4 linked regions of the Kluyveromyces lactis genome follow. The protein of the gene in region 1 interacts with the protein of each later gene in a biochemical or structural test. Links are inferred from orthologs where the notes say so. Each region holds a gene or a part of one and is shown in the gene's direction. Other genes may lie near its edges. The genes, in order: DPB11, RAD9, CDC45 and LCD1.

Evidence for each region.
Region 2: the proteins of DPB11 (region 1) and RAD9 form a complex in vitro, tested with the Saccharomyces cerevisiae proteins (3 studies listed by BioGRID, with this or other methods). The link is inferred for Kluyveromyces lactis from reciprocal best matches to the Saccharomyces cerevisiae genes DPB11 and RAD9.
Region 3: the proteins of DPB11 (region 1) and CDC45 form a complex in vitro, tested with the Saccharomyces cerevisiae proteins (2 studies listed by BioGRID). The link is inferred for Kluyveromyces lactis from reciprocal best matches to the Saccharomyces cerevisiae genes DPB11 and CDC45.
Region 4: the proteins of DPB11 (region 1) and LCD1 form a complex in vitro, tested with the Saccharomyces cerevisiae proteins (2 studies listed by BioGRID). The link is inferred for Kluyveromyces lactis from reciprocal best matches to the Saccharomyces cerevisiae genes DPB11 and LCD1.

Annotation. Positions count from the first base shown.
Region 1 is NC_006042.1:1,323,020-1,331,167, reverse strand, and holds DPB11 (protein kinase activating protein DPB11), read left to right. Parts: upstream 1-3,296; coding exon 3,297-5,306; downstream 5,307-8,148. Other genes in the region: SIP4 (Sip4p), read right to left, coding at 90-2,243; GWT1 (glucosaminyl-phosphotidylinositol O-acyltransferase), read left to right, coding at 5,612-6,952; KLLA0_F14256g (ATP-dependent helicase), read right to left, coding at 7,037-8,148. UniProt on the Saccharomyces cerevisiae protein: Has a role in the initiation of DNA replication. Required at S-phase checkpoint. Required for the association of PSF1 with origins. Also required for the proper activation of RAD53 in response to DNA damage and replication blocks.
Region 2 is NC_006042.1:1,202,833-1,211,205, reverse strand, and holds RAD9 (chromatin-binding protein RAD9), read left to right. Parts: upstream 1-2,637; coding exon 2,638-5,520; downstream 5,521-8,373. Other genes in the region: septin SPR28, read left to right, coding at 1-618; ADY4 (Ady4p), read right to left, coding at 715-1,809; DNA-binding transcription factor ADR1, read right to left, coding at 5,714-8,373. UniProt on the Saccharomyces cerevisiae protein: Essential for cell cycle arrest at the G2 stage following DNA damage by X-irradiation or inactivation of DNA ligase.
Region 3 is NC_006042.1:1,831,748-1,839,905, reverse strand, and holds CDC45 (DNA replication initiation factor CDC45), read left to right. Parts: upstream 1-2,896; coding exon 2,897-4,891; downstream 4,892-8,158. Other genes in the region: REA1 (AAA family ATPase midasin), read left to right, coding at 1-224; tRNA splicing endonuclease subunit SEN2, read left to right, coding at 923-2,032; LCL2 (Lcl2p), read right to left, coding at 2,207-2,611; KLLA0_F19800g (uncharacterized protein), read left to right, coding at 5,208-5,762; SAC6 (fimbrin), read left to right, coding at 6,206-8,158. UniProt on the Saccharomyces cerevisiae protein: Required for initiation of chromosomal DNA replication. Acts at the origin of replication. Also has a role in minichromosome maintenance.
Region 4 is NC_006039.1:147,917-156,187, reverse strand, and holds LCD1 (Lcd1p), read left to right. Parts: upstream 1-4,276; coding exon 4,277-6,271; downstream 6,272-8,271. Other genes in the region: pheromone-regulated protein PRM1, read right to left, coding at 286-2,217; EMG1 (18S rRNA pseudouridine methyltransferase), read right to left, coding at 2,596-3,354; RPL37A (60S ribosomal protein eL37), read right to left, coding at 6,480-6,739, 7,247-7,253; TOS4 (Tos4p), read left to right, coding at 7,878-8,271. UniProt on the Saccharomyces cerevisiae protein: Forms a complex with the serine/threonine kinase MEC1 which activates checkpoint signaling upon genotoxic stresses.

The DNA of each region.
Region 1 (8,148 bases):
ATGACACTTAGTAGTAATCAGTAATAAATAGTTATGGATATTGCGGATGTTGATTCTTCTGTCTGAATTTTTCTGTTTGATTTGAGTAGCTACTCCTTGATTATGATGTGGTCGATCTTATTGTTGAAAAGTGAAAAATCAGTTCGATCTCCGGCTTTATGGATGCTGGACGCTCTTGCAGATGGATGGTGACCCATGCTTCGCCTCTTGGGCAATATTATCAATTCGTTGTAGTCACTTTCGTTATCTTCTTCGTAGCCTTCGTCATCAATTATGTTATCATTGGCATCGTCATATATCTTGAATAAATTAGTTGTGTCGTTAACGGTATCAGGTACCATCCCCATTGGTTTGAAATTCGAAATGGTTGGTGAAATATCTGACATGCCGATGGAGAGTTGGTAGTGAGAGATTAACCTTGAGAAAATGTCGTTATCATCCATCCAAATGGTGACCCATCGTTTCAACAACTTCTTGTATTTGTACCAGTTGAACGTTTCCTTTGGTTCATTCAATAAGTTCAACAAACAGTTCTCTATCAATTGTTTATTGTTCAAAGGCATAAACTGAACAGTCTTCAAGATTCTCGAATTTATTGGTTTCACGTTTGAATTATCGGATAGGATTAACCAATAAAGTGATATGATTTCATAAGATAGTTCCACGGAATTCGGTTGTTGTAAATATCGGCATACGAGGTATACCAAAGTGATACCGATTTCAAGTAAGTCGTTGTTTTCCAATTGAATTTGTTTGAAATCATGGTCTTGTAAATGGTGATAAAGTTTCCATTGGTAAATTAATTTGTAACCGAAGGATTCTATCAACAGCTGATATTTATTGTTAGTCTCATTAGCTAATAATTGAAGGTGACAACCATCCAATTGCAATATGAAATCATAAATGAGTTGGAACATCTTCAAATGAGGTGGGAACTCTGAAATGGTTGGTGGATGGAATTCATCGATTAAGAAATTAGTCTTAGGTAATCCGTTGATGAAACACCACCAGATCTGGAACACTTGGAATTGATAAAACGTGAGAAGCCTAATAACCTTTGACGTTGAGTTTTCATGTCCAACAAGATTGTTGTAATTCAAGAACAAAGCTGAATTGATGATCATATACTGGTTGAAATTAATCAAATCGTTAGTCCAAATGACAGAGTATGGGTTCTCCTGGGACATGAAATACCGTATTCCGAAATTCATCAGTTGAATCGATGATAATTTGTCCTGCGACAAGGAACCCAAAAGTTTAACCGCCTGGAAAATCGTCTCGTTATTGAAACAATTCAACTCGAACTGTACTATAAGTATTAGTACAATGGACACCGCAGGGTCAGAGACAGTCGAAGTCCCGGTTAGTACCGAGATCATTCGTTGGTGCCATGACGTCCCCAAGAGATATGGGAAGATTTGGTTCGAGTTCAAGTACTTATCAATTAATCGTATTACATCCTCAGCAGATAAGGGGATATTAATCGGTACACCGCTCGGTGAAAGTGGGAAATGTCGGTTAAGGTACGATAGAACCGGGTCCTGTACGATAGACCTTGTATACTGGAAAGACTTCAACTGAGATTTATTATGGTTGACGATCGAATTCCAGGTGAAATTACCTAGATACACTTGGTCATGGATATAGTTTGGGAATTTATGGAAAGTATCATTGATAAAGGGTAGGAACGTGGACGCAGGGGCCTGGGCCGGTACTGGCGCTGCCGATGCCGCTGGAGGAACCGAAACAGAAGACTTTGTTCCCATTTCCCCCACAGAGTTAAGGAATTCCTGGCCAGCAGGAATAACACCCGTCTGTGCAGTAGCTGCCACGGCAGCTACTGCACCATCAATCACGGTCTCACCGTTCTCGTCCACCATCCCACAAAGCCGCTGCAACTTAATCACCTCGTTCTCCAACATCTCCGTGTAACCCCTAGGGAACCCGCGTCTTGTAAGCTTATCACTAGTCGAACAATGGTACCCTATCTTCTTACAATTGGAACAACTAGGCTTGATACCGTCACATTTAATCTTCTTAAGCCTACATCTATCACATGCCTGTGAAAACCGTTTCACTTTTGTTGATGCCGTAGGCATCAACAATTTCTTCTCATTGTGTTTGTCGACTTTCCCATATTTACGCTTCTTACCTGACTGACTGCTACTGTCATCACTGCTATTACCAGTAGACATCTTACCAGCAAGCACGCCCTTTACATCATCCTGCGAAACACTTGGCATAGTGATATATACATATACTTGGCGCTACTACAGGAAGCTTATAGCAAGCTTACGTTCCAAACAGAAAAAAAAACATCTGATACCTACCATAAACCTTCCGGTTCATGGTTATATGGCAGAACGTTTCCCCAGGTCCGTTTGTCTTATATATCTGATTCAGAATCATGAATAATAATAATAATATTTGGCTATAAAAACCCTCGAGAAATCTAATTCAAGAAACTAAGGCAAGAAGAAACTACCTTTTAACAAGCCAAGAGAATAAACCAATGAGATAACCGAGATAGCTGGGACGTTTGAAGAATTTCCCTTAATTGATGGATCCCAGAAACTGACATTTGTGACATTTCCACAAGTGACGTTGGACATATTATTCAGTATTCGGTATGCTATAGACTATATAAGAGGGCTAATTAATATGCGTTAGTAGTGTGTAATTCCAGTTTTGCAATTGTCCCTTTCAGCCGGATCTGGGGAAAGGAAGTTTTGGGGACAAAAAAAGCGGTTCTAGGCGCGGTTTTCCGTGTAGTCAGCAAAAAAATTTGTGCAGTTATATCGGTTTATCGTAGGGAGAGTAAGGACCTGAAAGGATTTGTCCGGATGAAAGGCTAACGGGGAGAAGTCACAAGTCCGAATGGTGTATGGGTGGCGATGTTTGCCTGCTTCTTGCAATTTCACATGTGACAGATATATGAGTCAGCTGGACGGTTGCTGACAAGGATGATGACTCGACGGGGGGGGCGCCGGAAGGGGGAGATTCGCTGTAGTCACGTGGTTAGTGTTTAATTTTTGGTTTTGGTTTTCGTTTTCTCAGGGTAACCCTGGGTAGCTTGTGTTTTTCGTCCACGTGACCTGTAAACAAATGTCATTTTACAACTCTTCTCTGTTTATTATTTTCCACACATAAACGCGTATTTACACAGATATCCAATCCATCCTTCCTTCCTTCACATATGAATGGTGATGATGTGTCTAAAAAGCTGGAACAAAGGTGTAGATAGCTTCTTCTTCTTCTTCTTCTTCTTCCTCAATTCTCCCTGAAGTAGAGCAAACATGTCCGGCAAACCATTTCAAGGACTGGTGTTCTGTCCTACGTCTCTCCCGTTGTCGGTTTCTGATACCATCTCACATAAAGTGACAAAACTCGGTGGGACTTATACCAAGGATTTGACAAGACTAGTCAACGTATTGGTTGTTGGAGAGTTATTCACCGCAAAGTATAACTTTGCTGTCAAGAATAGAACTGATATCGTGTTTGTTAGTCCGGGATCCGTTGATCAGTTGTACGATGCGTGGCTCGCAGGAGAAGATCTGTTGCAGTTGGCTAAATTCGATATGTCCCAGTACTTAAAATCGAAGTACTCTATCGGGTCGTTTGAAAAATTTAACTTGTTCATTGGCAGAATACGACCTAATAACCATTATTCTCTTGAGTCGTTGGTTCAGTTGTGTAAATTGGGTAAAGTGAAATCGGTAGATACCACGCATTTCATTAGGAACTCTTCGTCATCCAATGCATGCATTTCGTTGTTTATTACCGATGATTTATCGGGGAACCGTGTCCAGGCTGCTTTAGAAGAGAACGTTCCCGTAGTGCATCCAAAATGGATCATTGATTGTATGGACAGATCAGGGACTCTAGACTTTCAATCTTTCTACCTGTTGAAAAATTGTCATGAACTTGAATACTCTGACATTGGTTCTGGTTCGTACATTCGTGACGTTCCAGATAAGAAAAAATCTGTAACTGAACCAAATCCCATGGGTGTACAAGATGATTCGGTGAATCCGTTGAAGATTGCTATAGATAAATTTAAGCCTCAAGCGAATCAGATATGGGGGAAACTATTGGCAAGAGATGGTGATGCTTCAGCGTCAAAGTCCACTGATATTAAGGAAGCCACCCCAACGCATCAAGAATGCCTTGGTGAGACAAAGGATACACCGACCTTCCTGGACTGTCACTTCGTGCTATTCAAGTTCGAAAAAAGACAGGTTACTATCTTATCTAATGTCATTCGCGGTAATAAAGGAACGTCTTCCCTCTTCGAGGATACATCACCGTCACCGGCACAGCTGAAGGATAAGACCATTTATTATATCTGTCCAAGTGGATTTCCGGCAAATCTACTGCCGAGAATCCCAAATGAATCATCGTGGTTGACAGAATTCTTCATCGAACGATGTTTGTATTACGAACAACTCCTACCTCCGGATTTTTGGTCAAAACCTTTCTACAACGATTTCAATATCATTCCACCTAAATCGGTGTTACATGGCCCTAAACTTTCCTTCCATATCACAGGGTTCCATGGCGTGGAATTACTACACATCAATAAAATTATAGACTTTTTGAAGTTGATTGGTTTTGACCATCATGAGAAATTGACGAAGAAGACGGATTTCTTACTCGTTAACATCTCCCAATTGACTTCAATACCACAGGAACATACTTTAAGGCAAAATAAGTACGCGTCAATGTTCAGGACAGATTTGGATATGAAGATCTCTGTAAATCAAGCTCAAATGTTTAGAAATTCAATGAAACGGAAAATTGAATTCGTTAAGCAAGCTCATCATATTCCCATCCTAACTCCAAGTTTTGTCATTGAACTCTTCCAAAGAGCAATGAAACCTAATAAGACTTCCATGAACATCTACTTTAATGACGTTAATTGGTGTATTTCTTGTCCCAAGGGTTCTAAATCTGACTTTGCACTACAAATAATTCCAAAGGAAAGAGGAAACGAGGATCCTTTGCTAGAGAAACCCGCTCCTGTTGATATTGCGGCACCTCTGTCAACTGCCTCTTCTGCATCAGCAGAACTACCTCATGTTCCAAATAGAGGGAACCGTTGGGGGAAACTTCTTTCAAATAATGTAGATACAGAGAATGAGGAATCAAGCTTTATCCAAACTGTAGGTCATGATAGTGACCATCTTTCGCATACTCAGATCACGTACGGATCAGCATCAACGTCGACATCTGTGCAGCAGAATTTGAAAAGAAGGAAGATTTCTACCAGAAGCCAAGCTAAAGACATCATTTCTCATGTTTCATAAATCTCATGTATTATTACGTCACGCCATATATATGTATGTATATATGTATACATATCCATTCGGATATTATCTGTAACAAGATCATTAACATTCTTATTCTGCTTAGAAGTGCCTCTAACTCCTAAATGTGTGTCATTTTTACGTGTCTGAACCTATATTCCAGATTTACTCTTCTGTGCATGCTTCCTTTAAAAGTGAAAATATTGACAAGTGTCATTCTACCTGTTTATTAAGCTCTAGATCAATGAAGGTTCAATAAAGGAAGTAAGTACAAGAAACGTATACAGGCTCGGGGATATCAGACCATGGATGCTTCTGGTGTAATTGATGAATTGAAACACCGGAAGGAAGCTTTCGTTACCGGACACTCCGGAAGTTCAATTGCAGATTTACGAGATGTCACATTAGCCGGTATTTTTTCTAACGCCGCTTGGATCTACGTCGTTTCGAACAATCCCAGCTACCGGGACTCCTTCTGGTTAGATTTCTTATTGAATTGGATGGGTCTCCTCTGTAGTGTTACTGTATTTGGGGAAAACCCATTTCTTACAGGTATATTAGGTTTAAGTGCGGTGCTATTATTTGGATGTATATCTAAGGGAAGTAAACGCGAAACGATTAAAGAAACTGTAATGGACAATGGCAACCAGTCAGCAACCCTCACAGTGTATAGGAGTACAATGCTGATCTTAACTTCCATTGCCATATTGGCTGTAGATTTCCCTATCTTTCCTAGGAAATATGCCAAGGTAGAAACCTGGGGCATTTCATTGATGGATCTAGGTGTTGGATCGTTTGTATTCAGCAATGGTATTATAAGTTACAAAAGATTAAAATCTGGAACTGAATTATCCAAATGGGCTAAAATTAAACAATCATTAAGGTCGACGGTGGTACTAGTGGTATTGGGTTTCATTCGTTTGTTTTCCGTTAAGGCTGTAAACTATCAAGAACATGCAACCGAATATGGTATCCATTGGAACTTCTTCTTTACCCTTTCATTACTACCCCTTGCAATGATTATTTTCGATTTCTACAACATGAGATTGAGATTTGTTATAGGTTTGATTGCAGCCATTATCTACGAGCTTTGCCTGATATACCATCCAACCTTTCTGGACTATTTGTTAAATGCAGAACGAATAGATTTTATTTCTGCGAATAGAGAAGGAATCTTTTCGTTTGTTGGTTATTGTATCATCTACCTAGCTGGCCAGCAAGTTGGTAGTATGTTCTTCCCAATCTCCAGAAATCCAATGCAACTGCTGTGGAAATTGGTAGCTCTAAGCATCTTCAGTTCTGCCATATCGTATGTTCTTCTACACTATCATCCATTACAGGTATCTCGGAGATTTGCCTCAATTGGGTACTCCTCTATGGTTATTTCATTCAATCTGTTAATCTTAACCTTCGATCAACTGATAGTCGAATGCTTAACGAGCAAACCTAGAGTGCCTAAGACGTATCGAGCTGTAAACGGTAACGGCATGCTGGTATTTCTTATATCAAATGTCACAACAGGGATGGTTAACTTCACTTTCAACACATTGGATTCACCACCTTATAAGGCGATGGCGATACTGACAGTGTATGCTTTGTTCCTCGCCGTATTCGCTCTAAAAGTTCCGTTTAAGCTTAAATTTTAAGAAACTCTGTATTGACCTCTGTGTAGGTAATTAAATCGCAGATCATCATCAAAGACATTAGATAAATATACATTTAAAACACTTTTACTTTGAAATGTAGGCATTTGCAGTAGTACTCGTTTTGAGTTTCACTCGTTTCGCGTTGTTCCTGACAGGAGTGTACGCTGGAGCAAAAGATTTGCTTTGACTTACTGCCACTTTGGTTGAGTGGTTAGTTCTTTTATCTGAAGATATAGAGTGCGACAAGTCTTGAGCGGAGGAGCTTTCCAATCTGATTTTCTTTGATTGCATGCTTTGGCTATTTTTGACAGGCTTCTTGCACAGCATATCCAGGGTGATCCTCCTCTTTTTCTCGCAGATTTTCCCTCCAGCAGGTTTTGGACATTCTTTAGATGAGGTTGTGAGGACTTTGGTAACATTTGCAGTCCCAGAATTGTAGCTGTTTTTACCTGGCGAGAATGATGCGTTCAAAAAGGAACTTGCAGGTTTGAAACTATTGGTTCCTGTGGAAAAACTTGAGGGAGCAGTATTGTTATTGAAATCGATTAAAGCAGGTGTTTGAACATTTGTACCATTCCATATAAAAGTGCTGGTTTTGCAATTTTTGGACTTTTGGTAGTCTTGGCAGAGGGACTTCAATGAAAACTTTGAGGAGGTTTCTTCCAATGTCCGATTCATGCAACGGTAAAACCTTAAAATTGATTGTGGGTTATTGAACAAGACATTATTCGAATAGAGTTGTTCACAGTTCTTTAAGAAGATGCTTTTTTTGCCTGAAGAAGACAAATACAAAAGATCCTTCGCTCTGGTTAGAGCAACAAAGAAGATCCTTCTTTCTTCGTTCAAGGTAGTCTCTAAATCATCTATGAGGTCTGATTCCTTGCCTCGTAGCTCTTCTTTAATATTGTCGAATTCACCTGAGCCCATCGAACAGTTATTAAGATCATTGCATGCTTCACCATCCCGACGTAATTCTGCCAAATCTTCTAGCCTTTGGCGAGCTGACTGCTCTGTAAAAGGAATCAATCCCTCGTTTATGGAAGGGATGAATACAACTGGCCACTCCAAACCCTTGGCAGCATGAATGGTAGATACTGTTACTCGTTCTTGCAGATGATTTGCTAATTTGTCTAAAGAATTTTCGGTGTTCTCTTCTTCAGATGAATATAATGAAATGGATTTGGTAAAGAAAGTAA
Region 2 (8,373 bases), about 120 kb from region 1:
GAAATAGCATTAAATAAACGTCTCATCATGGAAGATATTTATGAAAATGATATCAATATCTACGATTTTGTAGATGATAAACTAGAAGATACTTTGATGCTTGTCGAGGCTAATGATTCTAGTCCAATTCCTAATAACACTTCTTTTGACAGTATGCAGCAAAATAGTTATGGTGAAGGAACAGCCCAATTGAATACAGCTTGCTGTAGAATCAGGGATATGTTACCATTTTCGATAATTGGTAGTAATGAAGTTGAAGTCTCACCAAATGGAGAACTGTTTCACGTGAGAAGGTACTCCTGGGGAACTGTAAAAGTGGAAAATAGGGCTCATTGTGATTTCATTTATTTGAAGAACATTCTATTAGGATCTCATCTTCAAGATTTGAAAGATACAACGCACAATAAGCTATATGAAAATTACAGAACGCAAAAGCTTTTAGCTGGCAACAACTATCCGTCAAATAATGATGAAAGAGATATTCTTGCAGAAAGTACTGTTCTAGAGCATCAACTTAATCATAAATCAAAAGAGATCAATGAGGAAATACGTGGCTACAGTTCTAAACGTCTTGATGAATTGAATAGTAATTTTGTAAAAGAAACTATTTCAACTTAATCGATTCGATTTATTAACACTGCTTCCCACTAATATATAGATAGAAGACTTGGTGTTACATATATAACAAAAATTATATAAAAGTGTACTTTTGCTTTATCTTTCATTGAGCTGTCGCCAAAATTCTATGAAGTTATTGGTACCATTTTCGCCCATTTCAACATTATCACGTTCATAATCAGACCCACGAACTTTTCGTTTCAACTTCTCTGCTTCTTTCGAATAAGTATGTCGGTTTGATAAGACGGGATCGAATTCAGAGTCGACTATTACTTCATTGGTAGACAACCGGATTAGGACACTTGGTAAAAGCTTGAGATGTTGATGATTCTGTGCAACTGACTCAATTATATTCACAAAGGTACCAGAAAGCGAAAAATTAGCATAATCAGTGACAAAGTGCTGTTCATTTATGGATTTTGCACACTGGTAGAACTCACCATAGAAGTAGTTGAAAGTAGCTAAGTCAACTTTATTCACAAAAAATAAACCCATCAATATTTTGTGGAAACATACAAGCCTTTTAGGGTCATCGAATGGGAAATGAACTGCAGCTAGCATGTAATGACGGATCATATAAGTGGAAAAAACTGTTTGCGGTATTATCACAGTAGTCTTAACATCATGTGCGTGCTCATAGTCTAATACTTTCCCATCGAGTAGCGCAATAAATTCATAGATTTCTGCACATATCTTGAAATACTCCGCAGTCATATGCTTATTCTGGATGTCCTGTTGTGCAGATATTACACTGCTTGAATTTTCCAATATTGTGTATAATATGCCTTTGAACATGTCCAAACGATTCACCCTAACCGAATTGAAGGACACGTATTTTACCCTTTTCCCTTGATTAAAATCTAAATTCAAACATTTTGCCAGATAAAGTGAAGTTTGTCGAATTATCCATGTTATCCGAGACGAGGAAAGGTCTGATCGCTTCTCACTGTGACGCTTATTTTTAGAGACTGAAATGAACTGTAGAATCCAGCGGAAAGAGAAAAAAGCGGTCCCATATTCTTCATCTAGAAGCTCGAAGAATGCTTGAATAATTCTGAAGTTGATGATAATGTTTGTCTTCCATCTAAGAACAAAATGATCATCTGCATATCTAGCACATAGATTATCCGACATATAATTTGCATCCACTGTAAAATCAATATCGGGATTGTGATCAAGAATACCCTGCATTATAGAAATGATACGCTGTTTGCTAATATTACCATTTTGGAATCGTTCTTTCACAAGATTTAAGGGAATGAACGAGAGTATGATATCCACAAAGTCGTCCCATACTTCCGTTGAATCTTTGATTAGTTGCTTGGCTTCAAGCGTCTTGAGACATTTTTCCAATAACGACTCAAAACAAAGTAGAACATCAACATATGAACCTAATAGTAGATGACATTAGAGTTAGTATTTACCATTCAATCGTTATCATTGTTAGCTTTCATTTAATAATGTCACTTACCATTACATTTCGAATTTTTGTCGGTCATGATATCACAGTTATTGTTGCCGACTAAAGGGTGCTAATCACGAGAAGCAAAATTATGCTTGCTTAAGGCGAGGATCATAAAAGCTACACCTCTTGTGTTGGTATATATCGTTTGTGCCAACAACCAAAAAATGCATTCTAAAAGGTTCACTTCATGTGTGTCTGACACCCATCGATAGAAAATATCATACTTTTCCTTAGAAGAACCGAAAATCAATTCCTAGAATAGCAAACCTGCAACCAGTGCTATACTAGCAACTCATATACTAATACCCTGAAGAGATGCGACCGGCTATGGATACATAATAATAAAACTCACACATCGCACAGTTGACTCTTTAATGTCTTAGTCTTTAACAACTACAAATGTAATATTGACAGAAAATCATAAACCAAAACAAGAAAGTTTACAGTATGTAACGCACAACTAACAAAAGTTATTAAACATTCGATAAAAATACGGAGCCAAAATATCACTTCATTCTGAACCATCAATATCAGTATCTGCTGTTTCATATGGTATGACAGGAGACGAAGAAGACAGTGGTATTACCAAAGAGACTCCCAATTACAGTCCAGATCGAAAACAGCTATCGAACAAGATAGAGTCTACTTCCTCAGATGAAATAGTGTTAAAAGAAAATACAAGCACCCGAACGCTCACGGGAATTAACAAGGCTATAAAGGCTTTGGGTAATACTGCTCTCAATTTAAATCCAACGAATAAATCCCTGTTAGAAGACACACCTGAGGGAAATCGAGATCTCGAGATTAGACGAAGAATTGATATCCAATCAAAGACTGATGTATTGCAACGATTTCAGGAGAAAGACTTGAATATCGAAGTGGAATTACCGTTTGATTTGACTCAAACTAAAGGTATTCTTTTGAATAACAATGACACATATCAACCTGAATTATTAGACACGCCATTAAAGAATAAGATATCGATTCGCTCACTTAGGAATGCTAAAGGTGAAGTGAAGGCAGCTTCAGAACCGATCAGCTTGATTGAAAATATCAACTCGTCCCCAGAGGGGCATCCACAACCATTTATAATGACACTGAAGGATGCAGATAATGGTAATATCTTGGGTGATATTGACACTCAAAATGTAACTCAAACATCTAATGAAATGTTAGTACCTGCAACGAATTCAGCTAATGTAAGTCAAACACAAGAAATCAGGTCTACATTGGCCGATGAAAAGATGACTCAGCTAATTAGAACTCAGTCTAATAACCTCGATGTCTCAGAGAGCTTATTGAAACTAGATGAACAGTCTGCACTTCAAGAGACATCAATAGTGCATACATCTCCAATCAATTTTGGCTCATTTCATCACAGTCTTCTTCCTTCTACCAGAACTATATTGACACAAAAGGAAACAGGTTCTAATTTCAACGAAGAAATCCAGTTGGTTCATTCTCCAGCGGTCGTTAATCTCCGACCCATGCAGCAGGCCTCCAATAAATCACCTTCAACAGTATTTAGTGAAGAAGAAAGAGAAGAAGAAAAAGAAGATCAGGAAGTAGCCAAATGTCACTCGTCTATTGAGATGAACAATGAATCTTCTCAGAAGGAACAAACAGATGAAAACTCGAGTGAAATGAAGTTTAAACTCACATATTATGTCAAACCATCCAGTCAGATATCCGACGAGGATGAACAAATTGGGGGTGTCCGGAATGATGCTACCGATTTGAACCAACGTAAACACAATGAACATAATCCTACGAATGATGTCTCAAGAGAGCTCTCGAGACTGGATACAGATCAGGAATATGAACAAACTCAGGAACTACCTGAAATTTTCGAACGCAATGAGTGCAAGCACAAACCGTCATTTGAGTCACAAGAACAACTTAATGTATCCAAGAAACGGAAAAACAAGCAGCTAATATTAGAAGAAGAATTTGAAGATAGTAGTACACCAAGTAAAATGACACAATTTACAGCTTTCACTGAAGGTGTCTACCTGCCGAAAGAACTTCGTATATCAGATGAAATGCAGTTGACTAAAAAAGATGTTTTATTCAATAATGCGGTCTGGTATTATTTTAATGATTGCAATTTTTATCCTGGTAAGATACTTTCCGAACAGCGTACGAAGCCTGGGTATTGCTCCGTTCTTTTCGAGAAACGTCAAAATGATGTTAGGGTGGAAGACATTTACTATTTAGATATTAGATGTGGAGATAAAGTCCACTGGAAGATGAATGAATATCAAGTCGTAGCTTTAGATTGCCAGATCCCACAAAAAGAAGATGTCATTCGATGCATTAGAGGATATGATACGGTGCATTTAAGAAAGGTACTGAGAAACGGAAGACTCAGCAAGAATGATATTGTAGATACCATTGCATCCATATACGTTACCACCGGGGAGTGGATCAAACGAACCAAAATAAAACTGGAAGATGAAGACAATGATCCTTTGGATGAATTGAGACGTTCTGTTAGAAGTCGATCAGTGAGGGATTCTATTTCTCCTATGAAGAAAACCGCTCAAGATTATAACAAGTCAACTTCAGAGATTTTCAGAGACACTTTCTATGATACTACTATAATGAGTGGATTAGAAGGACAGGGAGGTTCTGTTTTCGAAAAGTGCATCTTTGTATTGAGTGGACTTAATGATATGGATAGAAAAAGGTTATCTTATCTAATCGAGATACAAGGAGGATATGTCTCCAGCGTAGGGTTTGAAAGTCTGTTAAGATATGAAGACAGATCAAGAGAGTTTAGTTGGAACAATCCACGTTTTAACAGTTACCGTTTTGGTTGTCTTATTGCGGGAAACTTTTCAAGAAGTCCGAAGTATTTAGAAGCATTGGCTTTGGGATGGCCTGTACTACATTGGAGGTTTATTGAGTCATGCATAAACAAAGGTTATATCTCGACTCAAACGATACTACAAAATCTTTTGCCGAGCGGAGAAAGTAACAGGTTGATGGCTGACTTCAATCTAGGTATTATCAAATCAAGCAATGTTTTTAGTTTCCTGACAAACTTCAATAGCAGTTTGACTTTAGATGCACAACTAAACAATGCCAGAGTAGTTTTGGAAGATTACTCGATATTGATTTTAGGAGACTCCGATATGAATTTTTTCGTGGACTTCATTTTCCAGGTGTTTAAAGTTGGTCATTGGGAATACACGAAAAACTTGAAGTTGAAACCACAGCAAGAGTTGGACGATGATCTGTTCGACCAACTTGTAGAATTTCGGCATAATTACCACAGTAAGAAGATGATACTTTTCATCAACGAGACGTCTTTGCAGAACTCATCCGACTGGGAAAATAGCATTTCTAAAAGGTTCCTGATGGAGGGTATAAATGATTTTAGGATCAAAAATAAGGAATGGCTGGTTCAGACCGTAATTAATGAAGAGGCGTAATAAAAGTGTATCACAGTAAGAGTACAATAATTGACCCGACTGATAGAAAGTAGAATAAATAAGAGTTACATTATATTCTCGGGATTAACAAATACTGTTCAATTATTTATAAATAGTATACTATAGGAATTTTTTTTGGTCATTTCGTGAGATCTCATACATCAAAAAGCTGTTTAATTAAATATTACGGTAGTCATAGGGAATTCGGATTGAAGTAGTAATCTCCAGGAGGAGTGTTTGAGTTTGGCAAATTCAGCATGTTAACAAAAGAATGAGTGTGATCGTTGACAGGATTATTGTTGCTTCCAAAGAGATGGGTTCCTTCATTGAAAATAATATTCGTAATTTTGCGTTGATTGTCTAATTTTGACTGAAGAGTGTTAATTATGTCAATGAAATTTGTCAATAATGAACCATGTACATGTGATTCATATATCAAGAGGAAAGAGCATTTGGCAACCTGTAACAATTTGTCTGATAGATGATAACGGTCATAAAATCCCTGTCTTGTTCTAGCACCATTCTGTTTACATAGATCGTGGTGCCTTAGTAAGTTTATTGATGACTTGCTGGGTCCTGGAGCTGGTTCAGCGTAGCCTGAATCAAATTCGAATTCATTCAACGAATTGACAGGACCAACTGGCATTTTCAAATAGTTATAGTCATTGAATGATTGTACTAAAACTGATTCGATGCTCTTTTCCAAATGTTCAAGACTGAACGTATGGACAGCTGGAGCCTGTGGAGAAGGTCCATCATATGCCGTCTTTAAGTCAGTGAATTTTGAAAACTCCAGAGGGTAATTATGGACAAGTTTCGGAATCATTAACTGCTCTACCAGTTTCCGTAACTCCGCAAATATACTCAACACCTTGAAATTTGGAGTGGCTTCAAAGTCTAATATGAATTTTAAAATGCAAAGGAAATTGAAGAAATAACCCTGAATTTGGAACAACGAGGTTTTTGAGTAATCAAACTTAATTTCTTCATAATATCCCGTCTCATTGGTGTAGTAAAATAACGATGCAATATTTTTGATAGAAGCATTAACTGAGACCAACAAATCAATTACCAAAGAATCAGAATTTTTGGACAAAATATTGGCATGAATGGGTGACAAACAATTCTCGAAAATATCGTCAGTTAATCCGTATTTGGATATTATTCTGAAAAAATGGGAGTCCAATTTATCAAACAATCTCAAAGAAATCAAAGAGTTCTTTAAATTGATGGAGTCACCAATTAAGCAGTCCGATGTAGCAGAATCCTGATCGATTTGGGGTAAATTCTTCTCTAGTTTCTTAGTATCGATTTTGTTGATGAACACATTCATGTTTGACCCAGATAATTTTATTGAGTACTCATAGAAAAGCATTGAATTTACTAAAACTTGTGGAATAGTATGATAACCTAGATCATTAAACTGGAAACTTTGGAAAAAGTGTAAGAAATTCAAATGGTAAAGATGCTCGGACTTTATGGTAGTACTATTCCAGTTGAATGATAAAGTTGACCACCTCGTTTCATTATTAGGAATCATTATCGTCTGTAATTCAAAATTCGTGATGAAGCTCGACGAGGATAATCTATGGAAAATCTGTAAAAACTGACACAAGTTGTAATTTGTCAAAGTTGTTCTTAATTTTGATTCCCATATTATTATCTCAGCTTCCGACCTTAAATTTTCTGGTTTCTGCTGAACCAACGGTAAAAAGTAATTCCTTAACAAAGAACAAACTGCTCCAACTTGTTTCAATATTTGATCTGATCTGTTGATATCGGAGTTACTATGTTCAGCAAAGATGGAATACATTACTGACAATGTCAAAGACTGGATCAACCATAAATTCGAATTGAGTGGTGACGTTGTTTCATCCCGTTTCAAATTTTTTCTTCTATCCAAGTAAACGTGTAGTACTCTCCTTGCAATTTCATACAATTCCCTTGTCTTACTCGTAGAAGAAGAAGTAGTATTCTTATAAAGAGAACCAATGGTAGCTGCAAATAGAGGCAAGCATATGATGTTTGTATGGTAGATCATATCATCTACACTGAATGGAATATTTTTCGCATCATGTTCATAAATGTAAGATCTGTACGCTTCAGAATCAAATGACCATACCGATGAATGAATGAACGGGTTATGTGGGTGGAAGCGCATGATGTAAAGTTTTAAATATGTATTCAACTCATCGTTGGAACAAGTCAAAGAACAAGGTTTATAGCTAGGGCCACATATGCTTGAATAATGGATCAACGCATTCTCGCAAATGTTTCTGATATCATTATTGAAGAAATTGATTTTAATGTCTTGATCTTTTGGAGAAGCCTTTGATATATTACAAAGTTGAGAGTACTGAACATCATAAAATGTGTACCCCGGATCCATGATAGATTGTAACTGAGCAGGATCAATTTCTGTATTTGGGAACTCGTTAGAAGGATGCAAGTGATTATGATGCAATGAATTTTGTCTGTGAATGTCAGGGAATGGAGATGTAGTACTTTTCATTAATGTGTTATTATGTTCTTGGTCGTGTGTATCATTAAAGGTGGGGTTATCATGAGCATGAGCAATGTTATGATCATTGTTGATAGAATTATTAGTTTTGATAGCGGAGTTGGTGGTATCCAGGGGATCATTAGAAGGAGTGAATGCCGATGGGAGCATGAACTTGAAGTCATTGCCCAGGTTAGAATCATTTCTAAGTGGAGGTGATTCTGTAGGGATACCATTGTGGGTCATGGTAACGTTGGGACGAATCGTGTTGGAAATAACATCTTTCTGGATATGATTTGATGTCAGACATGGATCAACAGTGTTGCGGCCATTTTCCACATTGTCGTTAATTG
Region 3 (8,158 bases), about 510 kb from region 1:
TCGTTTTCGTTGTCATCGATGGTATTAACTCTAACGAATCAATCATGGATATGTCTCAAGTGAACTATATTCCAGATCAATTCGGCAACATGAAACTATCAGTCCAGAAATACCTAGACACATTCCCATTCGAATTCTACGTTGTCGTTCATGACATTACCGAACTCCCAGAAATGTTATCCATTATCTTAAGACAGTATTTCTCAGAGATGGCATCCATGTAGATGGACAACATCACGTCAAAAACCTAAAAAAAAGTATAAAACTGTACAATAGATCTTTAACTAGATACCGTAATAACAATATCAACAATAAATAAAAATATACCAATATTTCATGGTACTAAACTATTTAAAGCCCTAACCCAGACCCGGCTCAACACATAGAATCTCTGCCTCCTTAGAGCCCGAAATGTATAGAAATTGTCCGTTGTATGTGATACTGACATTTCACAAACGTGAAAATTTTCATTTTTCAGTATAAAAGGCCAAAAGCGATGAGCTTGGAAGAGAAAAGATATGTTTGATGCCACATATATAAGTATTCTGATCAACCAAAAAATAAACCAACTGTAGTTGATTCATACAGCCAGCATACTTACTGTTCATAGATTCCAGATGGAGTGAGCGGTAAGATATGTTACCTCTGTGGATATTTTTCTTTTTTGAAGGGCTTTTTCTTTATATATGATGATAAACCATTTTAGATGTCTCGAAGAATTTATTTCAATGTGAGCACACGATTTCTCAATAGACTACAACGGTATCTGATTTGTCCTTTCTCTACTCTAATTCGTACCCCTCTTAGTAAAATATGTAAACCTAATATCACTCCTTAACTCTGTACTGCTTATTCGAGTTTTTAGTTATTGAAACTTAATTCTTTTGAATTAGAGATCAGTTATAAAACCATATTTTGTCCAATGCTAATCTCTCTTGCATGTTTAGTAACTATATATGAAGACCGCGGGAGGCAAGTACTTACAATGTCGAAGCGATCTCATAGAAATCAGCTGCAATACAAACATGCGTTGCCTATAGAGGCGCAGCCTGTACCGTCTGTATGGAAACATCCCTTTCAGGCATTTTCCTGGATATTAGATTGGGCGATGAGATGGAGTGAAACCAGAATTATTGACGTCAAGATCAACCAATTAGGTCAAATTTTGGTATGTGATCAATGGCAGATGAAGTATTTATGGGAACACGGATTCTTTGGTACTGGTCAACTATCTCGGAGTGAACCCAACTGGCAGGCAAGAACAATGTCTCGATTGCAACTAAATGATGCTGATCGAATCAACTTAGAGCATGTTACAGACGTTAGAAGAAGGCAGCGGCTCGAATTCAAGAAACTGAGAGCTGAATTTGAAGCCAAGAAGTTAGAAATGAGACAAAAGGGGATTGTAGACGAACAATTCATTGAACAAGAAAGGTTATTCTTAAAGAATCAAAGAGATAAAGAATTAGCTTTTGAAAAGGACTCGATGCAAATACGTGACGAAGATTTAAGATTAATAGAAGGCAAATCAGTGATTCAACTAGAAAGCTTGCAATTGATGCCCGTCGAGGCTATTTTCCTCTCTTATGCAGTGCCGGTATTGAAGATCACATTGCAACAATTAATGGTTTCGTTGGTACTGGAACCGAAAAGTTTCCAAGACATCAAGAAATTAATTCATCAATATGTCGCGTACCATCATTACAGGTCCAAAGGGTGGTGTGTACGATCGGGGATAAAATTTGGTTGCGAATACTTATTATACAGAAGAGGACCCCCTTTCCAACATGCGGAGTATGGAATCATGGTTTTGGATGCAAACCAGTCAAATGATTACACTTGGTATTCAAGCGCTGCCAGAGTCGTGGGCGGAGCCAAGAAACAGTTTGTATTATGCTACGTTGAACAACTCATACCTGAAGATGACTTAATGGAACTTTGGAAGCAATCAAAGTACGATGAGCTTTTCAGAAACTTTAAAATCCATGAATTGTTATACAAAAGATGGGTTGCAGGTAAGAACAGAGATTAACTGTTCCGAACCGGTAACGATCTTTTCCGCGAAGAACTCAAACGAGTAAAAATAAACCCATGCTAGTTAATTGCATTAAATACAGTAATGGTCTGTATTATATGTCTCTATATATATTATCAGTTTATGTTTGTAATAGTATTATGGCCGATACAGAAAGAAAGATCTCTCATTCTAAATCTTGCCGTCATATACATCCAAGATCCATCCACAATCTCTGAATCCCTCAGTACGTTGAGCTGGTCCCATTACTGGATCATCATAAATCTCTACCAGTGTTGGATCATGTGTTGCTGGCTTTGAGATGCAAATTACCTGACCGTTGGGTAGATTGCATTTCAATTGTGAATTAGGGAACGGACACGCACAATCCGACTTCTGTCTCACACAATCCAATGTCTGTGGACATAAATAATGCGGACAGTCATTATCTAGGAACATTTGCTGGTAAGAGCCAACATCCCGCTGTTGCTGCTGTTGCTGCTGTTGCTGTCTATTCTGGTGACCTGAATCGAAAAAGAATCCAGACACAGCTTGTAAAAAGAATGCTGAACCAATTATTGTTCCCAGTAGTTTCATAGTAAGTTAAGATCTTCGTATTTCGTAATACTGCAATATGAAATATCAGATAGCAGTGTTTAGTACCTATAGTCTTGTAAATCTTGGCATCTCTTCGAATATTTCGAATATTTCGCATGTATGCCATTTATGACAAGTAATCGATTTTCCAAAAATCTTTAAACGTGTAAGTATTCCAAACCAATATTTTAAAGAAATTTATGTAAATACATGAGATGACTAGCTCACGAGGGAAAAGAGACTGCAAACAAAACCACTGCAGGCCATCAAAGTGCCAGGTAGAGGATGTATATTGGCATTGCTGAATTTGTGGGTGCTTATGATAAAATTCTTCACCGATGCAGTTCTCATTCTTCATGTCAGTTGGTGATTTTTGTTTCGTGTTTAAACATTGACGCGTTATGTGCATCGAAGATGCTATCCAGTCTATTCAAGAAGCAATTGGTACAATCACAGTTAGTTCCCGTGTTTGGTTATTCGGAATTGAAGGATCACTATCAGAGACTGGACGAAAATATCAATAGCGTTATATTTGTAGGTTGTGGAGGGATGGTAGATCTTGAATCTTTTTTAGAGATTGATCCACAAGAAAACACGCAGGGTCCATTAGATGAGATTCAATTAGATAAGACTGACGTTGTTCAGAAATTTAAGAAGGAGATATTTGTGCTTGATTGTCATAGACCGTGGAATTTGGATAATTTATTTGGTTCACAGTGCATAACCTGTTTCGATGATGGAACAGTCGAAGAGTCTTTGACAGAGCAAAAGAAAGCATACTACAAACTTATAGAGATAGAGAACGAACTTGGCGATGAATTGGACGATGACAGTGATAGCGAGGAAGAGGAAGATGACAGGGAAACGCAAAATGAGGATAAAGACGACGATGACGATGACGATGACGATGACGATGACGTAGTATTGGGTAAAAGGTCCAGCGATGAATTGAATCCAAAAAAATCACATAAACAACGAAAGCGAGAGTTTCACAACTTAGAAAAAGTGTTACAGGAGTACTATTCACAGGGATCAACGGTGCTGAACTCCCTTTCAGTTCAGATATATTCTCTTTTGTCTGGTATTGGTGAGACAAATCTAGATTATTTATGGTTATGCATTCTAGGAGTGTCCTCTTTGGATAATTCCTTCCCGTTGGTATACAATCGACTATTACCACTTCTGAAAGATGAAGTAAAAAGATTGACACCTAGTGAAAAAACTAAAACGCCAGATTCTTTGAATCTTGAGATTCGTCCCGATTACAGTTTATTCCTTCTGAGGCATACATCCTTATATGATAGTTTTTATTATTCTAACTACGTCAACGCCAAACTGTCACTGTGGAATGAAAATGGCAAGAAAAGACTGCATAAAATGTTTGCACGCATGGGTATTCCGCTGAGTGTTACACAGGAAAACTGGATATATATGGACAATAATTTCAAGAGAGATCTGGGCGTACTTTTCGATAAAAATCTCGATAGATACGGGTTACAAGATATTGTACGAGATGGGTTCTTGAGAACTTTCGGTTACCGAGGATCAATAAGTGCCAGTGAATTTGTCGAATCGATAACCGCTTTACTTGAAGTTGGCAATGCTTCAAACGCACTAGAAAATTTGACAACAGCTAATGTATCTCAAAAAGATGATACGAACCAAGGTGATGAAGAGAATAGGGAGTACGAAGAAGCTGAAGAGCAAAAAATTAACAGAATACTGAAGACAAGGCAAAAAAAATGGATTGCAAATTTTTGGTCAAGTTGGGATGTATTGGACAATAATATGGATATTTTATCTCAGGGGATTAAGCATGCAACATTTTTACAAAGAAGTGTATTTGAAACTGGAGTCGCTATTCTGGAGAAAAGATTAGTGAAACATTTAAGGATTTACAGGCTATGTGTTTTACAAGATGGACCAGATTTGCATTTATATAGAAATCCATTAACGTTATTGAGGCTGGGATCATGGCTCATTGAATACTATGCAGAAAATGACGAAAAACAGTTACTTCCACTGGTATTGGCAACTTTAGATGAGACTTCTGACACATATCTTTGTGCAGGGATTGCGCCAAGGTACCCAAGAGGGTTGGACATTTTACAACAACAACAGCAGAAAACTTTAAATAATTTCACAGTGGCATTTCAACAAATAGCAGCTGAGACAGGTGCCAAAGTAAGGATTGACAATTTCGAGACATCAATTATTGAAATCAGGAAAGACGATCTACAACCATTCCTTGAACGTTTGACATTAAGCGGATTGATTTAGCACGAAGACACAAACATATTAATTTAGGCATATCATGAGGTGAGCTTTCGGCTTTAAATCTAATATATATATATATATTATGTAACAATCTAATCAGATACCTCGAAATTGACACTACTATGGGATGTCCAAGCTGTTTGAAATCTGTTAGGTTTACCATTGATATCACGTGATCATTAAACCAATGCCACAAATGTCAGTCAAAGGTAAGCATTCTAAAATACCCACAATAATTTGTCATAATTATAGGCAAAATGTTGCCAAGAACCAGCCTTCAACCCCTCAACTGTAGCTGTTCAGGCTCTTAAGTTAATACATGGAGCACAACATAGATCTTCCGCGTCTGCCACCCTGGAAAAGCCCGCAGTTCCGCAGGATCAAACATGTCAAACACTCAACAGATGAGGATTTCAACGTTGGGATGGGCACATCGGCAAATGTATTCAGCGACTCTTCGCTCTACACTCCGTTGAATTACAAGAATGAACGCAATAGAAACAGGGATATGAATGGGAAACAAAGGGCACCAGGGATATCTGAAAACACTCTCAGTTTCAAATACGATCCGTCACCTTTCATACTCCATGATAATATACTAAACAAGACAAAAGTGGATCAATTGCAACAACAAGAGGTTGCCATGAGAAGACTTTTTGATAAAGATAGAGCAATACCTGAATCCAGGCTCAATGTACCGTATTACCAAACGCTATGGAGAGAACAGCTAGATTTAATGGATGATGACATGCCAGAAACAAGTCCGAAATTCGATTACTCGAACTCATCTCAAGATCTATACAAACAGCTCCGGCAGTTCCAAACAGCATTTGTCCAAAATGAGGCGTGGAAGTACGAGGAAAACACTGAATAGCTGGCTAGTAGTATTAACTCCTGTGACTATTTCATCCCTCACAGCTCACAAGATTATTCCACAGTGCGGAATATCCCAATATATCTAATGCAAATAGACTGCGACAAGCATAAATAGCATACGCAAATGGATAGACGGACGATGAAACCCGTGTAAAGCACCGTATGATCAGACTGCTGAACCAGGAGGCTTGTACTGGCTTTAATTCCCTTCAATTATCATAACATACGAACATCACATACTCTCTCCTTTTCCATTTCCAATCGAAAAGCCCTTTAAAGAATAAAGTTTAACATGGTGGAATATAAAACATAAACCTTGAAAGCCGTATTCCACGCCCGAAACAAGAAAGGAAGCCCTCGTCTTTCCTTCTGCCTATACGGTTTACAACTTGCAGTATTAGTGCAATTGATTGGAATCACAGCAATATAAACTGATCAATAATGAATATTATTAGATTACAAAGAAAGTTCCCTGAGTTTTCTCAGGAAGATCTCTTCGAAACGATAGAGCATTTTCGAAACATCGATCTAGAGGATAAGGGCTGGGTTGAAAAACCTCAAATTTTGGAATCCATTTCCAAGTCTGGTGTTGCATCTTATGATGAAGCTAGGGAGACTTTGAAGACCGTTGATGTAGATGCTTCGGGTCATGTTGAATTGGAGGATTACGTGGAATTGATGGCAAAATTAAGAGCAAACGGTTCATCTCAAGGTACGCAACAGGACGAAGACAATTCAAAGGGGTTCCCACAAACGAGCTTTCCTAACATTTCCGGTCAGAGCAACCGTGCACCACCGGTTCCAACTAAACCTAAATCGATTGGTTTGCAACACAAAGGTACTGGTGAGAAAGCTCAGATTATTGTCGGTGGTTCCACTTCTGGTACCACCCACACGATTAATGAAGAAGAAAGAAGGGCTTTCACTACACATATCAATTCCGTGCTAGCTGGGGACGCAGACATTGGTCATAGGCTTCCTTTCCCTACCGATACTTTCCAATTATTCGACGAATGTAGAGATGGGTTGGTGTTGTCCAAGTTGATTAACGATTCTGTCCCGGACACCATCGATACCAGAGTGTTAAACTGGCCTAAGAATAACAAGGCTTTGAACACTTTCACGGCTTCCGAAAACGCCAACATTGTGATCAATTCCGCTAAAGCTATCGGCTGTGTTGTGGTTAATGTTCACTCTGAAGATATTATTGAAGGTAAAGAACATTTGATCTTAGGTTTAATTTGGCAAATTATTAGGAGAGGTTTGCTATCCAAGATTGATATCAAATTACACCCGGAATTGTACCGTTTATTAGAAGAAGATGAAACTTTGGAGCAATTCCTAAGACTACCCCCAGAACAAATCTTGTTGCGTTGGTTCAACTACCATTTGAAACAAGCTGGGTGGCACAGAAGGGTCTCCAATTTCTCTTCTGATATCAAGGATGGTGAAAATTATACTGTATTATTAAATCAATTGGATTCAAATCTATGCTCATTGGGACCACTACAAACCACCGATTTGCTAGAAAGAGCAGAAGAAGTTTTACAAAACGCTGAAAAATTGGAATGCAGAAAGTATTTGACTCCAACGGCATTAGTGGCTGGTAATCCTAAATTAAACTTAGCCTTCGTTGCTCATCTATTCAACACTCATCCTGGTTTGGATCCATTGGATGAAAACGAACCTATCGAAATTGAGGATTTCGATGCAGAAGGTGAGAGAGAAGCCAGAGTTTTCACTTTGTGGTTAAATTCTTTGGAAGTAGATCCTCCAGTTGTGTCACTATTCGAAGACTTAAAGGATGGATTAGTACTTCTACAGGCATATGATAAGGTTATTCCTGGATCTGTAAACTGGAAGGTAATCAACAAGAAATCATCTGACTCTGAACTTTCACGCTTCAAGGCTTTGGAAAATACTAACTATGCTGTTGATTTAGGTAAATCTAGAGGATTCTCTTTGGTTGGTATTGATGGCTCTGATATTGTCGACGGTAATAAACTACTAACGCTAGGTTTGGTGTGGCAGTTAATGCGTAAGAATATTGTCAATACAATGAATGAATTGGCCACGACTGGTAGAGATATGTCTGATTCCCAAATCTTAAAGTGGGCTCAAGAAACAGTTTCCAAGGGTGGAAAATCATCCACCATAAGATCTTTCAGCGATCCTTCGTTGTCCAACGCTCACTTCTTATTGGATGTCCTAAATGGTTTGGCCCCAGGTTATGTGGACTACTCATTAGTGTTACCTGGTAAAACTGAAGAGGACAGATATGCAAACGCCAGATTGGCTATTTCTATTGCTAGAAAGTTAGGAGCTCTAATCTGGTTGGTTCCAGAAGACATCAACGAAGTCCGTTCGAGATTGATATTGACATTCGTTGCTTCT
Region 4 (8,271 bases), on another chromosome or scaffold:
CAGCCGGATGATTGACACTGCAGATTGGCCTTAATAAATGAGCAATAGGCAGTTTGCTGTGAGAGAGCTCTTCAAACGTCGGAAATTCTATTGACAATGCAGGAGGAGTAGCAATTCTTTCACAGCCACTTTTTTTTGGTCCTGACGTAATGTTGCCCCAATTCTGATCTATTTCTATTTTATATTTTCTTTTCTAGGCGACTGAGGAGAGAATCTGCAGTTTGTTTGGTAGTATGCCCATTATATTCTGTACATGCTAAATAGAGGGTAGGACCCTGGACGGTATTATGGACGGTTTTGATTATTATGTTTTGACTTGTGTTTCTGTGCCGCCAGGATAATACCGGCAACCGGAATTTGAAAAAAGTAAAGTGCTAGAAAAACAGACGACACGATGAGTTCTATGACGACAGTATTCTTATACTGTGATAAAATCTTGTTCGCTGCAGAGATGAGATTATCCTTGAGCTGGGTTGCAATTGATGTCGAATTGGGTAACTCTGCAGTGCTGGAAGTAGTAGAGTTTGAATCTGTGAGGTTTTGCTGAAGCTGTTGGTATAATTCAGAACCGTTGACTCGGGGGAGGTTCACTTGAGCTGTATTATGGACCCATGTTAGAGCTGTAGATATGGCTTCCAGTTTGTTTCCGATGACACATTGCATTACCGTATCCATGGGTTTGTACAAAATTGTCCCATTGAACGCTTTGCTAATTGCGTTGTCGATGTCTTCAATTAAATCTGTCACTGTACCGTTTACTGTGTCTGTCGTATTTTGGATCCATCCAAAAACTTGCCTATTAATTTGAGTTTCCGTGTCGTTAATGTAGAGGTTGGCAGATTTAGACCAGTCTGTCATTCCCTGTTGTACTGTATCATTCATGGCTGTGGACATCGATGTCATCATTTTTTCTGTCTCCTTCCCGTTTATCTTGTTGGAAATGATCGCAATGATGGCAAATTGTACGCAACACATGAGAATACCGCATAACCCAAGTGCTAATAACGTTAGCGAAGTAGAAGATGTCAAATACGTTACCAACCATTGGATATTTCGTTGTGTTTCTAACTTCGAACTTATACGTCTGCTGAGCCATCTTCCAAATCCAGATTGATATCTATTGAAGACCAGATGATACGTTTCTAATATATCGACGTTCTGTGGGACTTTTTCGTCAGCCATGTCATCAAATGGGTTTTTAAGCATGATAGTCTGATGCCTGTATTGATCTCTGAATCTTTTAAGGCGTATCCATTGCCTCCACTCTGCCCAGGCGTTATACACAATCAAACTTAGAGCAGCAAGAATAAAAACTATTAGTATTGTCATGGTGGAAGCATTAAACACTTTTCTTATGGTATCAAAGACTTCATTTATTTCTGACTTGTTATCTGAACATATTTTTACACCACTAGTATCAATTGCTGGTACTTCAAGGTACTGCGGGTCTCCAACTAGCTTACTGGCGTTAATTGATTTAATTTCATTCCTGATGATATCAAATGGAACGGCAATTGCTTGTTTAGTTTTATTCTTAACAGTATCAAAATCAGGTGTATTAGCAGACAGCTTCACCAGCTTATCATCTATAGAACTTGGAATAGAAAGTGTTCTCAGCCCATTTATTGTTAAATTAACTTTCTTTACTTGATCATTAATGTCTGATTCATCATCGTTCCCTTTAAAGAAATTCTGAATATCATTGACAGCCGAAAGAACTTTATTAACTACTTTGGTCAATCCGCTCAATCCATCATCAATCTCATCTGCGACGCTACTTACTGTTCCATTTACTAAATCAATGACAGATTCTGTAGCATTCGTTGCAACATCAACCGATCCATCAATTGCACTGACGATTAAGCATACCCATGTCCCCAACCAAAGATCTATCATAAAATCTATGACATTTTCAGAAACAGATACCAACAGTGAAATACTTTTTAGCGATAATGCTACACTTTGTTCCATAGATTTTTGAATTAGAAAGTTTCCCATAAGACCCATATAATGTGGGGAAGAATTGACATATTTGGAATAATAATAATCGATGTTACGGCAATTCTCCATGGTATAATCCATTATATTTTCGAACCCGTTTGATAGCATTTTTATGAACAATAGTATCTTAACCATCATGACTAGTATGATTATCGTATATTTATTACACCATATCTGTGACAGACGCTCATTAAGTTTTAAGTAAATATGTCCCATTTCGATGGTACATCATTGTTTTCTTTTGAGTTACTGAGACTATCATTCTAATTATGTTATCCGCAGTTCACTACTAGCAGGTGGCACCTGTAAGTATTGTTCCTTTTTATATGTGCTTTGTTCTAAGCTTTTTATTTTACATGAAACATGTTTGAGACATCTTAAAAGTTAAAACGTCTGAGATGCCACTTCTAACCGTAAACAGGCAGATAAGAAAGAGAGCAGAGAAAAATTTCTATCGTGTTTCACCATAAACTAGCTCCAATGCTACCCTTGATGTACAAAATATGGCGACTTTTGTTATCGAACTCTGCATTTGATAATATTACTTAATTTTATCGAGATATAATACTGATTTGAACAATCGAGTTTCCATGTTTACATAATGTTCCACACATCTTCACAACCATGACAGAACTTGGAGCATGCAACCGAAGCAGATAATGGATAGTTGGATAGACCAATCTTTTCATCCACAAATTCATCTGCAAAATTATCTTTACCCCTGGCCATGGCACCAACAAACACACATATACTTTCATCATCATCCAACTTTTCCACGTAGTCTTGCACTCTTATGACAGGTGCATCGAAGGACAAGGTGATTTTACGACATTTGGTTGGTAGGTGGTCGGTAATTGGATTCTTAATGACCTTCAACAATTTTTCTTCAGAGTTAACTGATCTGATGGATAGTTTATGCAATAATTGGACCATTAAACCTGAGAAACGTTTGAAAGTTCTTGGAATTCGTACAGTAGGGTTTAACTCGATAAGAACGCCTCGACTGGTCTGAATATAAACTTGAAGTTTACCAGCCTTATTTACAGGAGAATCTAATAGGGTTAGAAGACATTGATGAGTAATGTCGGGTCTAGCTTCGCTTATATCTCTTCCCATTTTCTTCAACAAACCTTGATGATCATCACAATTCAACAAGACGTATTTATCCCCACCAGGACCGTTGGATGATATTTTATGTGTCTCTAAAGAAGCCTGGGATAGCACCACAATAAGTCTCTTGGTAACTTTGTCCTTCGATGTTAGCACTGGCGGAGCTTGAGGGACCAATGATGCCGGCAAGACTTTCTTCTCACCATTTTTCATGGCATCTCTGACCTTAGAATCTTCAACCATATTATCTTGATATTATTTCTTTTGTACTTATTATATTACTAAAATGTACCGTAATAAAGCTTATCCTCAGTCGATAACAAACCACAGGAGCTGGTACAACGATGCGGCAAGTAGTTAAAGTATGGTCTCTTCCAGTTATTCTGTAACTATTCCATTCGATGAGCATGAAGTGGTTAATAGAAAAAAAAAAATTCAAACAGTAAAAAGAAATTCCGTGCACCGCATGTCATAGCTTCCAAATGACAAGAGGGAAGGGATTTCAAGGCATGAAATCGCCATTCGATACATGCGTTCGTTGTAACATGGTAGAATGTAAATCAATTGCATCTCTGAGAGTGTGGGTCTTGTCCCATCTTTCGATTGAGTATTTTCAGTAAATTTATGACTAAACATTGAAATGTCATATTTACTGGGCAAAGAGAATACTCTATGTAGCGTCAATATAAATGATCTTTCTAGACCATTCATTTAAATGATTAACAATTTTAACCATAGCAATATCCTTCTGAAAGAAACTTTTCTTATTATGATTGTGAATATGACATTGATTGTTTCAATATGTTAATATAATCTTTTTTATATTTTACAACTCTATGCCAGCATTAAGTCAAATATCATTAATAAATATTGTAATACATTCAAAGAGTGTACAGAAAGAGATATAGAAGTTACGGGACTTTAATTCAGCGAGTATAAGGGCATTATAGCGACATGTTATCAGCGTTAATGGGGAATGAAGGTCAACAACAGTGAAACCAAGAAACTATGTATTTTTTTTCTCTTTCAGCTAATGCAGATCATCTGCATATTTGTTTACACCTTAAGACCACAGAATTTGATTTAACCTTTAACTGTTAATTCATGTCAAGAACATTACCATGAACGCGTCAAACAAAAACAAGAAAAACCAACCTAGGCCAATATGGCAGATTTATGGGATGATAATGACGATGACGATGATATCCTAGAACTAGTGAATAGACCTCCGATGAGCCAGATGGCGGTACCTATTAAACCGCCAGAATCACAAGCTGAACAGTTAATGAAAGCGAAGGGAGAAGTGGGAGTCTTGAGGCAGAAGCTGAGTATGCTCGAAAAGACTCTAAGGGAACATGATGATAATCAGAAAAAGCTGGAATCAAGTCTGAAAAGTTCTCATGAAGAGGAAGTTACGAAGCTTAAAATCGAATTGGAACGACTTGAAGATGAACGAAAGTTCATGTTACTGGAACAGAAACATTTATTTACCCCCAGAAATAGCAGCAAGTCTGAAACTACCCACGAAACTGAAACTGCTGAACCATCACCAATTGAAAATAAAAGAAGAAGGATGGAACCCGTTAAAGAATACGTTACATTGACTCAGAATTTCAAAGTAGACGATGGTTCCCTTTTCTATGATCATTTGCTGAATTTTAAACTACTTGGTTCTGAGCACACAGTTCTAGAAATGCTCGATCACATTTGTACTTATAAGACAGATCTTATTTTGAGCCCGGAACACAAAATAATTAAGGCCAGGTTGCCTCTTGGCCCTCCTATTAGATCGTTGATATTTAAATGGAAATCCATTTACACCCTCGATCAACTAGTTGATAAAACACTAGAGATCTTGGCTATTGCTATAAAATCAGTAAGTGTACTTCCGGAAAATAAACTTGCCATCCCTTTCCTCATATCTTTGATGCATTGTACAATCAATTTTAGACATAGTGCGACCAGTGTTAGTTCACTGAAGGATGTATTTCAATTCATTACAGATTTTATCATCTCTGATCCTAAATTTTTGAAACAGCCATTGCATGAGAGTCCTTTGGATTTAGACGTTTCTCCAGACGTGTTTCAATATTCAATGCTTGATCAATTATGCATGACTTATTCGTTCGATGTCCTAGAGACATGTATTGTAATATTGCTAAACTGTAATACGCGGGCACAGGAAATAGTATTGAATGACGCTACTATTGCAGAGAACCTCATAAAATGTTGCAATTTTACTTTATCAATTTCATATAAGCCAATAATGCCAATCATCGTCAACGTAACGGAAATATTACTCGGTATAGTTGAATTGGATGGTGCTGAAAACGTTTGGAAAGGCAAATGGGCAGTATTGTTCTCAAAATTAATTCAAAATTGGGAGAGATCACTTACTTTTGACTCTGTGTCACTCAACTTTGCGGGTTTAAATAGGTGCTGTGGCGATAACTCCAATCATTCAATGATAGATAATATTATAAGTCTCGAAGAAGTTCGATATTTACCCATGATTATAGAGAACGAGTTTGAACCTCTCACTTTCACAGCATTAGATAACCTAGAGTATTGGTCAATTCAGATACAAATTAATATTACATTAATAATGCATAAACTGCTTCATCGATACCGATCCACTCTATGTTCGTTGGAATTTCTACAAAAGACTTTTTCTCTTTTCAGTAGTCATCAAGAGTTATTACTTACTGTGTTCTTGGATAGGGACCATATCAGTGATATTAAGAGACAGGAATTGTTATCAGTTTTATTAAAATTGATATACTTCTGTTGGGTGTCGATAAGTGACGAGTATAAACGTGCCTTAAGGCTAGACGAACTGACAATCTGTCTATGGCGTATTGTATATGGGTGGCCTGAGTCGACAGATGAATTATCCACAGAATGGGCTGCCCTAATAAATCCATTGAAAGCATTGGCGTTAGAGGAAGAGAAGAAATACTTTGATGACGCTTATGATGAAGATAATTTACCAGCATTCATGCACTCCGAGGAATTGGACATAAAAAGGGAATCTGCAGTTTCAAAATTTAATAACAACAGCTCATGGCCATTGAGAGACATGGCTAAATATATTCTCGAAAGCATAACCACTATGGATGAAGCGGATTCATTGTATGTAGCCATGGTTAGTGAAACTTGAGAAAGACGGAAGCGAAGAGAGCTCAGTTACTGGCGTTCATGTGCATCGACTTACACTGATCAAAGTGATAAATATTAGCATATTCCAATTATTTCATAGGAATGAACTCTGAAAAGATTATATTGATGGTTTATTTAGAAGTACAATGCTTATACAAAGTAATGAGATAATAAAAAATATGTCTTCAACAACATGATAATCTCAAAGTTTAAGCGGATTGTGCCTTAGCTTCACCAGATTGGAAACCGTTCTTGAATCTTCTAGAAACGTGTTTCAAGTATCTCATTCTACCGGTACCAGTGGTTCTTCTTCTCTTAGCCTTGGCAGCCCAGTTGTGAGATCTCATCTTAGCAGCTGGGTAACCACAAGAAGAACAGGTGTGCTTTTGAATGTGGTAACTACTACGGCCACATCTCTTACATAGAGTGTGAGACTTGTTGTGGCGCTTACCGAAAGATGGAGTACCCTCTGTTTAAAAAATTTGACAATGCAAAAAAATCGTTAGTAAAACTGTTTCCTTAGAGTAAATCGAACTCTCCACATGAGCTAGGTAGGTGAAGTGTAATATGATGGTCATTATTACTTAGTTGAATCTGTCAAAAAATTTCATAGAAGGTAACATAAAACCTAACCTGATATTTCCGAAGAAATCCTTCCAATGAGTCGACCGTTGTTCTCAAATCTTTTTCATTCTTGTTCTCTCCCGTTTAATAAGTAGGTGTAAATTGAACATTATAATTCGCTAACGTACTCGCCGATGTCGTAACGTTTTCTGGCCTTTTTCAAAATATACCTCATCAAACGTTATATTCCATTAGAGTTCGACTGTCCATTCCGTTAATTTGGTGCTGCCTCACGGGTGGTTCAATTATTCCTTGTGTTATTGTTTTCTCCATTTTACTCGTTCTTTATGCATATCACACTCCAAAGCTCTTAATAAGGATGTTCCAAAATGTATAGTATTCTATCACATACTACCCATGTTTGATTATGTCTGGTTCTGTCTTATCTTGAATCTAAACCCAACACTATAATGATAGCACTATTCTATCATATTGACCTTAGTTGGATATAGAACAATGTATATTATCTCTAAAAGTTTGGTTGAAACAACTTTCCTTGGAAAATTTCGATATCGAAAAGCAGGGAAAAGAAAATTTCAAATACGGAGAGCCGTCTATTTACCAAAAAGGGAAATACATTTTCAACTCACCAGTTTTAGTTTATCTGTATAGAATATTCTTGGATGTACGGATTTAATAAATGAGCAGTCCTGATAGTTGGGGAATAACGCGAAAAGTGGCCACTACGAAATAGACAAAATACAAGGAAACGACGCGACGCATATTTTGTAGTTTGAAGTTAGTATGAAGTTCATATTCAGTTGAGAAATGAAGAGACTTTAGGTTGTAGTAAGTTCTTTTACGTTTATTAACATCTATCTAAGACAAAACGATTCTGTAGTATTGTTTTTGGAGTGTCCTGTCATAGAAAGGCAACAAAGATACTGCTACTTGGAAAATCTAATATCAGATTCTAAAGGGTTAAAACTGAAGCACCTGAACGTTAACAGAGATTAAACCAAAGAAAGAAAAGACACGAGGTCATGAACTCGCAGTTTCCTCCTTCATCTCCTATTGCGAGCTCACATCAATATGATTTAGAAAATCCATTTTATCACCCAGAGAAAGATACTGAATCCGTGGTCTCATCTGCCAGTTTGAAGTTGTTCAAGGACAAAGACGACTTAAAGCAAGGTAATGTCAAAAATTATCCAACTCCACATCCCTCTTCTACTGTTGGTCGTTCCTCTTCCCCAATGAGAGATCAAGCAGGTGAGATATTATCATCTGATTACGAAATGGAAAAACATCTGGAGACCGAATTGAAGAAAGTTAGCCTAATCGATATTTCGCTAGATCCGAGAGATAACTCACGATTGGCAATTGGGCGCAAAAAATCTGTATGTGATATACATCTTCCTCGCGGAAAAAATATCT